Rattus norvegicus: one gene and its partner. The protein of the gene in region 2 interacts with the protein of the main gene of each other region in a biochemical or structural test. Links are inferred from orthologs where the notes say so. Each region holds a gene or a part of one and is shown on either strand. Other genes may lie near its edges.

What was found.
Region 1: the proteins of Slc9a1 (region 2) and Tesc form a complex in vitro, tested with the Homo sapiens proteins (4 studies listed by BioGRID and IntAct, with this or other methods). The link is inferred for Rattus norvegicus from reciprocal best matches to the Homo sapiens genes SLC9A1 and TESC.

Annotation. Positions count from the first base shown.
Region 1 is NC_086030.1:44,213,323-44,218,030, forward strand, and holds the start of Tesc (calcineurin B homologous protein 3), read right to left. Parts: upstream 3,219-4,708; 5' UTR 3,128-3,218; coding exon 3,070-3,127; intron 1-3,069. UniProt on the Homo sapiens protein: Functions as an integral cofactor in cell pH regulation by controlling plasma membrane-type Na(+)/H(+) exchange activity. Promotes the maturation, transport, cell surface stability and exchange activity of SLC9A1/NHE1 at the plasma membrane.
Region 2 is NC_086023.1:150,897,806-150,902,142, reverse strand, and holds part of Slc9a1 (sodium/hydrogen exchanger 1), read right to left. Parts: intron 1,158-4,337; coding exon 697-1,157; intron 1-696. UniProt on the Homo sapiens protein: Electroneutral Na(+) /H(+) antiporter that extrudes Na(+) in exchange for external protons driven by the inward sodium ion chemical gradient, protecting cells from acidification that occurs from metabolism.

The DNA of each region.
Region 1 (4,708 bases), on a different chromosome or scaffold from region 2:
ATGCGTGGGATAAGGGAGACCAGGTCTGAGGGTATCCACCGAAGCTGCATGGGAGCGGCCAAGCAGGGAAGTTTTCTGGAAGGAGGCAAATTCTCTCAGGGCCCTAGATGGTGGTGGGAACTCTGCCCTGAAATCTTAACCCAAGAGGAGGTAACAGGAGGATTCTCCCATATAAATAGCAAACATTGATCAAGATGGTGCAGAGTGGAGGGGCAGCGAAAAGCTTGTGCAAAGGTCCTGGGGTGAGGAAAGTTAGAGCAATGCATCATGGGCAGCGGTTCCTGCCCCAGAGGTCACAACATGGTGGACAACTCTCCCTCTCCCAACCCGCCACTCCCAGCTGTGGTGCTGTGAGCAAAACGCTGTCCCTCTCTGAGCCTCAGTTCCCCTCAGGAGAGGAAACGGCCTTATCTGCTTCCTGGAAGATGTGGGTGAAGACCTACTGGGTGTTGTGTAAAGTTCTAGGTTCCTGTACACGCGAGCCCAAGAGCAGTGGTGTCCAACTGGCCGTCCGAAAGTTCTCACATCATGATCCTGTCCAATCCCACGCCACGTCCAGTAGCTTCCTCGCTAATGTCACCTCCCAGGTCCACACAACTGCTCAGAGACGACGCTCAGGTGGGGCACTGAGGCTCAGAGAGGCAGTGACCTGCTGAATGTCACACAGCAGGGATACAGGGACCAAGAGCTCAATATGGCTCTGAGAGCTGGGAAGCACTCTTGCTACGTCCATCTGACAGGAGAGGAAACTGAGACACAGGAACACAAGGGACCCCTGATGTTGGGCTGCAGTGCAGCCTGAGCCTGAAGGACTGCTGTGTCATCGGCCAATCTCACTGACCAACTGCCTCCTGCCACAGGGCCTTGGCACCTGCTACTCCAGTGTTCTGGTCACTGTCACATGACTGGCTCCTTAGTTACCGGCCTATCCCTCCCCGCCTCGCTCTCCCCCCCTCCCCCCCCCCCGTTTTCTGTTCCTGGAAACTTAATGCCAATGAGGTGGATCTGTGTGCTGTGCATCCTGTTTGGGAATATTGACTTCTCTGGGTCACCTCCACATCCTCTAAAATCCTGAAAAACTCTAGTCCATAAAGATTTGCCAAATGGGTGAAAGTGCTCAAACCATACCTGCCACCTTCAGGGCCTGTGGGACCCTAGGAAACACTGTTCCTGGGGTTGTGGGGACCTGGGATTCTCCCCTCCAACTCCTTTTAGAAATGAATTCTGAGCCCAGGCAGCAAGTGAAGAAGCCACCCCAGCCACCTCCAGGCAGCCACTGAGCCTGAGCATCTGTCACCGTGGGAGGCTGGGCCCAGGAAACTGACAAGGCTCCCAGCATGCCTTGCAGCCCGTCACTGTCAAACCCACAGCCCGCTGGAATTCCCCCAGAAGGCCCTGGGTGCTGCTCCGGTGGGGACCCAATCTGCGGCCAGAATCCCAGCTCTCCCCACACCAGCTGGGACAGCAACTGGCAATAGGTCAAACTGAGTCAGAAGTGGGCGGGGACTCCTGCCGTCCTCCATCACGTGGGCCTCGGGACAGGTTTATGAAACTTTTGGTTTGTGGTCAGTAAAATGAATTCAGAGAGAAAATACAAAAGGGGGAGGGGGAAGACGCTGCCCTGCAGTCCCAGAACTGGGGAGACTGAGGCAGGGCGTGTCCCAGATCACAGCAGCCTGAGCCCCAACGTGAAACCGTGCTTCAAACAGCAGTGCACACTGTGCATACGCGATCACACAGCGTGCACACACTTCTGTTGCCTTCAACACAGTGCTCACACTGCTTGCCTCCCACACAATGTGTATATACTTCCGGCTTTTACACGGTGCGCACACACTCCTGCTTGCCTTGCACACAGTGTGTATACACTCCCGGTTTTTACACAGTGTGCACACATAGTCATGCCTGTACATATCGTGCACACACTTCTGTTTACCTCGCACACAGTGTGTATACACTCCCAGCTTTCACACACTGCACACACACCTGCTGGTCTCCCACACAGTGTGCACGCTCACCGCTTGCACACAGTGTGCACACACTCCGGGCTTGCACACCGTTCCTCTTGCACCCGGTGCGCACACACTCGCGGCAGCGCACCTACAGTCGGCGCTCGCCGGGACCGCCCCAACGGCGCGCGCCCTTAGCGGGCCGAACAAACGACTCTCGCGGATCCGCTGCACACTTCACATACCGTGTGCGCGGTGTAGACACTCAGCAGCTGGGGACTTTCTATGACTTCACCGGGCTTTGGGGAGGCGGGTGCCAGCCGGATCCCCTCTCGGGTGGGGCTGACCGGGGTCTTTCAACTCAGCAGCAACCTCCTGCCGCAGCATTCCCGGGGCAGCGCCAGCCTCCCATTCCTCAGAGGAGGCAAACTGAGACCAGAACTGACGGGCCCAAGGTCACACAGCCCTGGCAGAACTAACAACCGGCTCTGTCCGGCCACCGAAGCAAGCTGCGCCCACGCGCAAGTCCAGGTCCCCCCGTCGCTTCCGAGCCCAGGGTCAAGCGCGGGGCGGACCGGCGCTTCCCCCACGCGCGCCCCGCCCGGCCTCTGCGGTCCGGGGAGTGCGGGCTAGCACGGAGGACTCTGGGCAGAGTGCCCAAGCCTGCAGCCGGGGAGCGGGGACACACGGGGAGGCGGCAGGGTGACCCCCGCCTAAGGTCACCGCGGACCGCGCGGCTCCTCCGGGTCCCGCCACTTCCAAACTTTCCTCCCCGCTCATCCCCAGCCGCAGACTTGCGGGTGCACCGCGCGCTCGGCGCTCTCCCGGGCTGCCAGCCCTGGTAGCCGCGCCACCTGCCCGGCTCCGCCCTGGCCCGGGAGAGTCTTGGGTCATGTCGCCTCCCGGGCCACCCTCCCACCAAGGCCGGGGTCCCCGCCAACCCCTCCCGGCGGCGTCGCCCGCACAGCGGCTGGCGGGAACCCATCTGAAGCAGCCGGAGAAAGAGGCACAGAGAGGGCCAGCCACTAGCCCAAGGTCACACAGCGCGGCGGCGCGAAGCGGGGCCATGAAAGCGACGGTCCCCGCCGGCGAAGGTGCCCAGCCACCGTATGGTACTCACAACCGGTCTTGCCCTCGAGCTCCCGCACCTCCTCGGACGCCGAGTGGGCAGCGCCCATGGTGCGCCGCGGGGCCCCGGGCGCCCCACGCAGGACGGGGACTGCCTGGGCTGCGCTGAGCTCGAGCCCGGTGGAGACGCGGGGACAGCGGCACGGAGCCGGTTCCGCGTGGGGCTCGAGCGGCCTCTTATAGCGGCGGGAGGCGGAGCGGCGCGGTCCTAGCGCTCGCCCGCTTCCCTCGCGGCCGCGGGGGCGGGAAGCGGGGGGTGGGGTGGGGGTAGACGACGCAGTTATGCCCCTGCCGCAACCCCACGGGATAAGCTTGCGAGCAGGGAGATCGGCATCCTTCAGTCCATTTTACCGGGTCCAGAGGCGGAGCCCCGGCGACCCGGACAGAGGAAGGGCGTGCGAGTGAGCCTGGTCTGAAAGCCGCGGCCCCGCACGCCCTGCACCCAGGTGGGCGCCCAGAGGAGCGCGCGCCACCGGTGACAGGCGTGGACTGAGTGGAGAAAGTGGGACCCATGGGTCCCGGGGACCCGCTAAGCTCAGAGATAGGCGATCCTGACTGGCCAGTCCTGCTACTGGTCTAACCACCGTTCCTCCATCTCCAAATGGGGCGCGGTGAGATGCTCATGGAAGGGATCACAGGGAGAAAGGCGTCGGGGTACCGTGGGATCCTTTGCAGTTGACGAAGGAGGGGCTGGTGCTCCCAGAGAGAGAAATTCAACTTTAGGGCTGTCGGGCTATGCCCTGCTCTGCTTGGTGACGTCCGGCTTAGCTGCTAAGGGTTTGTCCTGGCTGGAAGTGCCGGGTCCCCAGGATCTTTGACCTCGCTAGTTCTAGTGGTGAGGGCGCCCACATCCTTGGTGCTGGGGTTCTCAGGAGCCCACTCTAGCCAACCCAGGACCTGGGCCCTGGGAGCTCTTGCAGCCCCCGCCCCATCGCTGAAACCCCGATTACCACCCACTCTGGGCCTCCGGGGAGCTGGGTCTGTCCCTGGAGATCCTCCCAGGAGATCGTCCCTGAAGGTCCTCAGTCCTCCCTGCAGCCGCCCAGAGTTTACGGAAACTGTCCCCACTCCCGAGGCAAAGGAAGTGGGGGCTGAGGGGTATTGCTGTTGAGTAGGCTGGACCACCTCAGGGGGATTCCATTTGTGGCTCCAAGAATTCTAAACCCCCAGACAGACCTTTGTTGGGAGGAGGGCAGGAAAGGGCTCCCCAGGTCCCGGGATGTTGGGGTTCCTAAAACTTCCCGCGACCTAAGTTTCGTGTCTGGATCCTGGTTAGGGCTTCTTGTCAAAGAGGATCTCCTCCGTGCTTGATCTTTCTGCCGAGACCCCGTCTTCCTCCGGGATCCAGATCTGTGTAGGCCTGTTTTCACCAGGCTGGGGTGTGGTCGCCAAGGAGAGCCTGCACCTGCACCCCGGGGCTGTGAAGAGTCCTCAGGAAAGACAGTGACGGTTTGACTGGTGCATTTGTTCACTCATTTAGTGTGTGTTTCCTGATGTCCTACTGTGTGCAGGGCCCCGACTAGGTCTTTAAGCTCCAAACGGGGATTAGACACCGCCTTCACGCAGATGGAGTGCGAGAGACCCGAGGGTGGAGTGGTAACAGCCAGGGTGAGCTCTCAGGAGGACCTCAG
Region 2 (4,337 bases):
GGTGGCGGTGGAACACGCCTTTAATCCCAGCTCTCAGGAGGCAGAGACAGGCAGATCTCTGAGTTCAAGGCCAGCCTGGTCTGGAAGAAGTTCTAGGACAGTCAGGGTTACATGGAGAAACCCTGTCTCAAAAAAACTGACCAAACAAGAAAACCAAGCAGTCAACCCAGTCCTACTAATCTCACACTCACCACATCCTAGAGGTCTGGGGAACAGAGCCCTTTCATTTCCTTTGCTCAGAACCCTGCACAGACCAAATTCTTAAACAGCCAACATAAGAGCTAAAAGGCTCCTCAGAGACTAAATGGGCTATGAACTGAGGCGGGAAGAAGGCCAGTAACTGGGCAACACAGTATCAAATGCAAGCTGGTCAGGAAGCAAGTGACCTACTAGGCCAGTGGCTCAGGCCCTGGAGGGCCACAGAATGAACCAAGCACACTGCCTCCAATCTTGGCCCCACCACATTCTAGGAAGCTGTCTAACTTCTGTGGGGTGTTTCTAGTTCTGTAAGGTGAGAAAGTTCGTCTCTCCTTGGGTTGTCCTGAAGATTAGGAGAGAAAATCTATGTCCCGGTGCTCAGAGCAGTGCCCAACACACAGCAAGCATGGGGGACACTGGCCGTCTTTATCATCATTAGTGGAAGGATAAGGCACCGCTTGCCCCCGTGTGCGTGTGCTGTGGCCCCTGACCCCTCACCACAGTGACGGCATCGTTGAGCAGGGACTCCCCAAAGACCAGGATGTGCAGCAGCTCATTGATGTGGATCTCCTCGAAGACGGCCAGCACGGCCACCGGGTCCACCGCGGAGATGATGCTACCGAACAGCAGGGTGTCCAGCAGGCCGATGTTATTGATCTGCTCGCCGCCCACCAGGCACACGGCGTACAGGAGGCCACCCAGGAAGAAAGCATTCCACAGCGTGCCCACCACAGCAAAGATCAGGATGGTGCCCAGGTTCTCCGTGAACTGCCTCAGAGGCAGGAAGTAGCCTGCGTCCAGGATGATGGGTGGCAGCAGGAAGAGGAAGAAGACGTCCGACTGCAGGAAGGGGGGCGTCTCTCCAACGCCCTTGATCAGGCCCCCCACCAGCAGCCCCACTACGATCAGCAGGCAGCTCTCCGGGACGATGCTCGAGATGGTGGGGATCACATGGAAACCTGTGAGGGGCGAGAGAACGGGAGGCCGTGGGCTTTTCAGGGGAGCCAGAAGAACAGAAGGTTGGGGACAGGACTGGGGACCAGGAGAGCAGCTGGCGAGAGGTGCACAGGCTTGGTCTCAGAAGGCCGCTCTGTTAACTCTCTGGGCCTCGGGTTCCTTGCCTGTAAAACGGAAGGGATAATACCAGCTTCACAGGGCTGTGGTATAAAATAATTATTTTAAAAATTTATAGTGTGCGTGTGTGCATGCGTTTGCACATGTATACATGCACCATGACACATGGGTGGATGTCAGAGGACAACTTGTAGGAGTTGGTTCTTTCCTTCAACCAGGTCCTGGGGACTGAACTCAAGTCCTCAGGCTTGGTGGCAAGCATCTTCACCTGCTGAGGCACCTTGGGCCCGACGTTTTCACAGAGTATTCACCAGCTGCCTGTTACCGTGGAAAACTGTCACAGAGCAGCAGCTCTGCATGCCTCTGACAGAAATCAAAGTACCTACGGCACCGAGCTACCCTGAACCCATGGCACTTTCTCAGGCACATGCTCAGGGAGCCGACTTGCGTCCCACACAGAGACACAATCCTGCCTCAGGAAAGGCGGCACGCCTCGTGCCATGGAGTTGACAACGGATGGTGTTAAAGTGGGGACCTCAGAGAGATAGGAGACTCATACAGCATCAGTGCCAGGAGAAAAGTGGGGACAGTAGGCCTGGGTCTGCACACCTGCAGAGCACATTCAGGAACCTCCAGCCCCAGACTCGCGGGCAGCAGGCAGATCCAGAAGATCCCAAGAAATCAAAGGCTGGCAGTTAGTTTTGGCAAGTAAAATGAAATCTCTTTGCCATTCTGCCTTTAGCCCAATTCTATCCATTCTACAGATGGGGCAACTGAGGCTGAAAAGGTGAAGGCATTTGCCCAAAGTCAGAGCAAATCAGTAGCGGAACCAGGAGGAGCCCAGGTCTGAAGCCCAGCTCCCAGCAAACTCCACAGTTCTGAAATTTTAGTTCTCCTTGCCTCCCTCCACACCGAGGCACTATGACATCCACCAACCACTTCCCCAAGTAGCGCTGGCCCTTCTCTGTTGGGGCCTATGCTGAGGTACCAGACCCAGGCTTCCAGGGATGCAGGGTTAGGTCAGAACCCCACATTCCCTATGAGCTCTTGGGTTTGCCTTTGGAGTAGGAAGGCAGGTGAAGACCTGAGCAACCAAATGCATGTTGGGTACTCGGTCCCCCAAAGCCATCTTGGTCAAAAGGTCGTGAGCCCTCTGCTCAAGACAAGGTGCTCTCTCTTCCTCCCTACCAAGCAAGCTCTGAGCTGGTGAATCCAATCGATCGCATATGCCCAAGGCTGAGGCGACCTTTGGAGCTTAGCGCATGCCTCATGACTTGATACACAGAGATGGGACACATCCCGCGATCTTCAGGGCCTGCCTGGTCAGACCTCCCCATCACTATACCCTAGACCTGTGGAAAAGGACATTTCTCCCTATGGCAAAGCCCTCCTGTTCAGTCTGACCCAGGCAATGCTAGGATAGCACGACAGTCCCCACACAACACCAAGTTCCCAGAGACACTAACAACACGTTGGAAAAACATGGGTCTTAGGGTAGGAAGAAAACTCAAAGCAACTGTGTACATGTTCCTGATTCCACACGTCACCTTGTGTGGAAAAGCTGCCTAGGTCACAGAGCCTCCCAGTAACACCAGTGTGCAGCTGGCAGGTGCACCCCTTGTCCTGCCCTCCTTCCCAGTCCCTGATACTCAGATTCTTCGAAATTGCCCCAAACGAGCAAATAGGCCCCGAACTGTGTGGCTGGTCAAGTGTGCTTCTGCCTCCTCTTCCAGGAAGTCTGCCCTGACTAGCCTGTCTGTCTAGGGCAGGACAGGAATTCCCCTCTTGTGCCTCCTTCTTTGACAACCTAAAAGCCACAGTCACCACCTTTCAACCTGGTACCCTCAGAGGTCAGGCAACCATCTAAAGCATAGAGACAAGCCCACAGCATCTTACCCAGAGATCTGCACGGCCCTGAAGGGGAGACTACATGGCCTGCTACACTGTGGATCTTAAAATTTTTAATTCCTCAAGTTTTAAAGGGTTAATAACACCAGGAGGATGACCAAGCATCTATGAGGTGGGATCTGGGAGAGGCTTTATGGTCACCGGGAGTGTGTCCCTCAAGGGGAGAAAGAAAGGCCCCACGAGGTTCTCTCTCCTTGTTGTCTTTGCTCTTTGGTTCATGATTTAAGCATTTTGTTCCGCTGTGTGCTGCCCCCACAATATGCCACACACCCGAGCAAGAGAATCATTCAATCTTAGATTAAAACCTCTAAACTGGGGCAGGGATGATGGCTTGGTGGGTAAAAAAGTGTGTGCTGCTTCAGATACCACAGTTCAGATACCGGCACACACACACACACACACACACACACACACACACACACACACAGAGTAAGCACACACACACACACACACAGTAAGCACACACACACACATACACAGTAAGCACACCCACACGCGCACACACACTGTAAACACACATACACGCACACACACACTGTAAACACACACATGCACACACACACTGTAAACACACACATGCACACACACACTGTAAACACACACACTCACACACTGTAAACACACACTCACACACTGTAAACACACACGCTCACACAAACTGTAAACACACACAGACTCACATACACATTGTAAACACACACACTCACATACACACTATAAACACATAAACCTAAATCCACACACAATGTAAACATATATGTGCATACTCACATACAATGTAAACAGATATACACACAAAACAACAACAACAAAAAAAACGCCTCTAAAGATGAGTTTAAAAGTTTAAAAATTCTCGGGGGCTGGAGAGATGGCTCAGTGGTTAAGAGCACTGACTGCTCTTCCAGAGGTCCTGAGTTCAATTCCCAGCAACCACATGGTGGCTCACAGCCATCTGTAATGAGATCTGATGCCCTTTTCTGGTGTGTCTGAAGACAGCTACAGTGTACTCACATACATAAAATAAATATTAATATTAAAAATAAATAAATAAATAAATAAATAAATATTTTTTAAAAAAAATTCTCTGTAAATGTGTACTTAGTCATAGGACAGTGGACCAACTAAGTTTAAGGGAGTATAATTCTCTAATGGGCCAG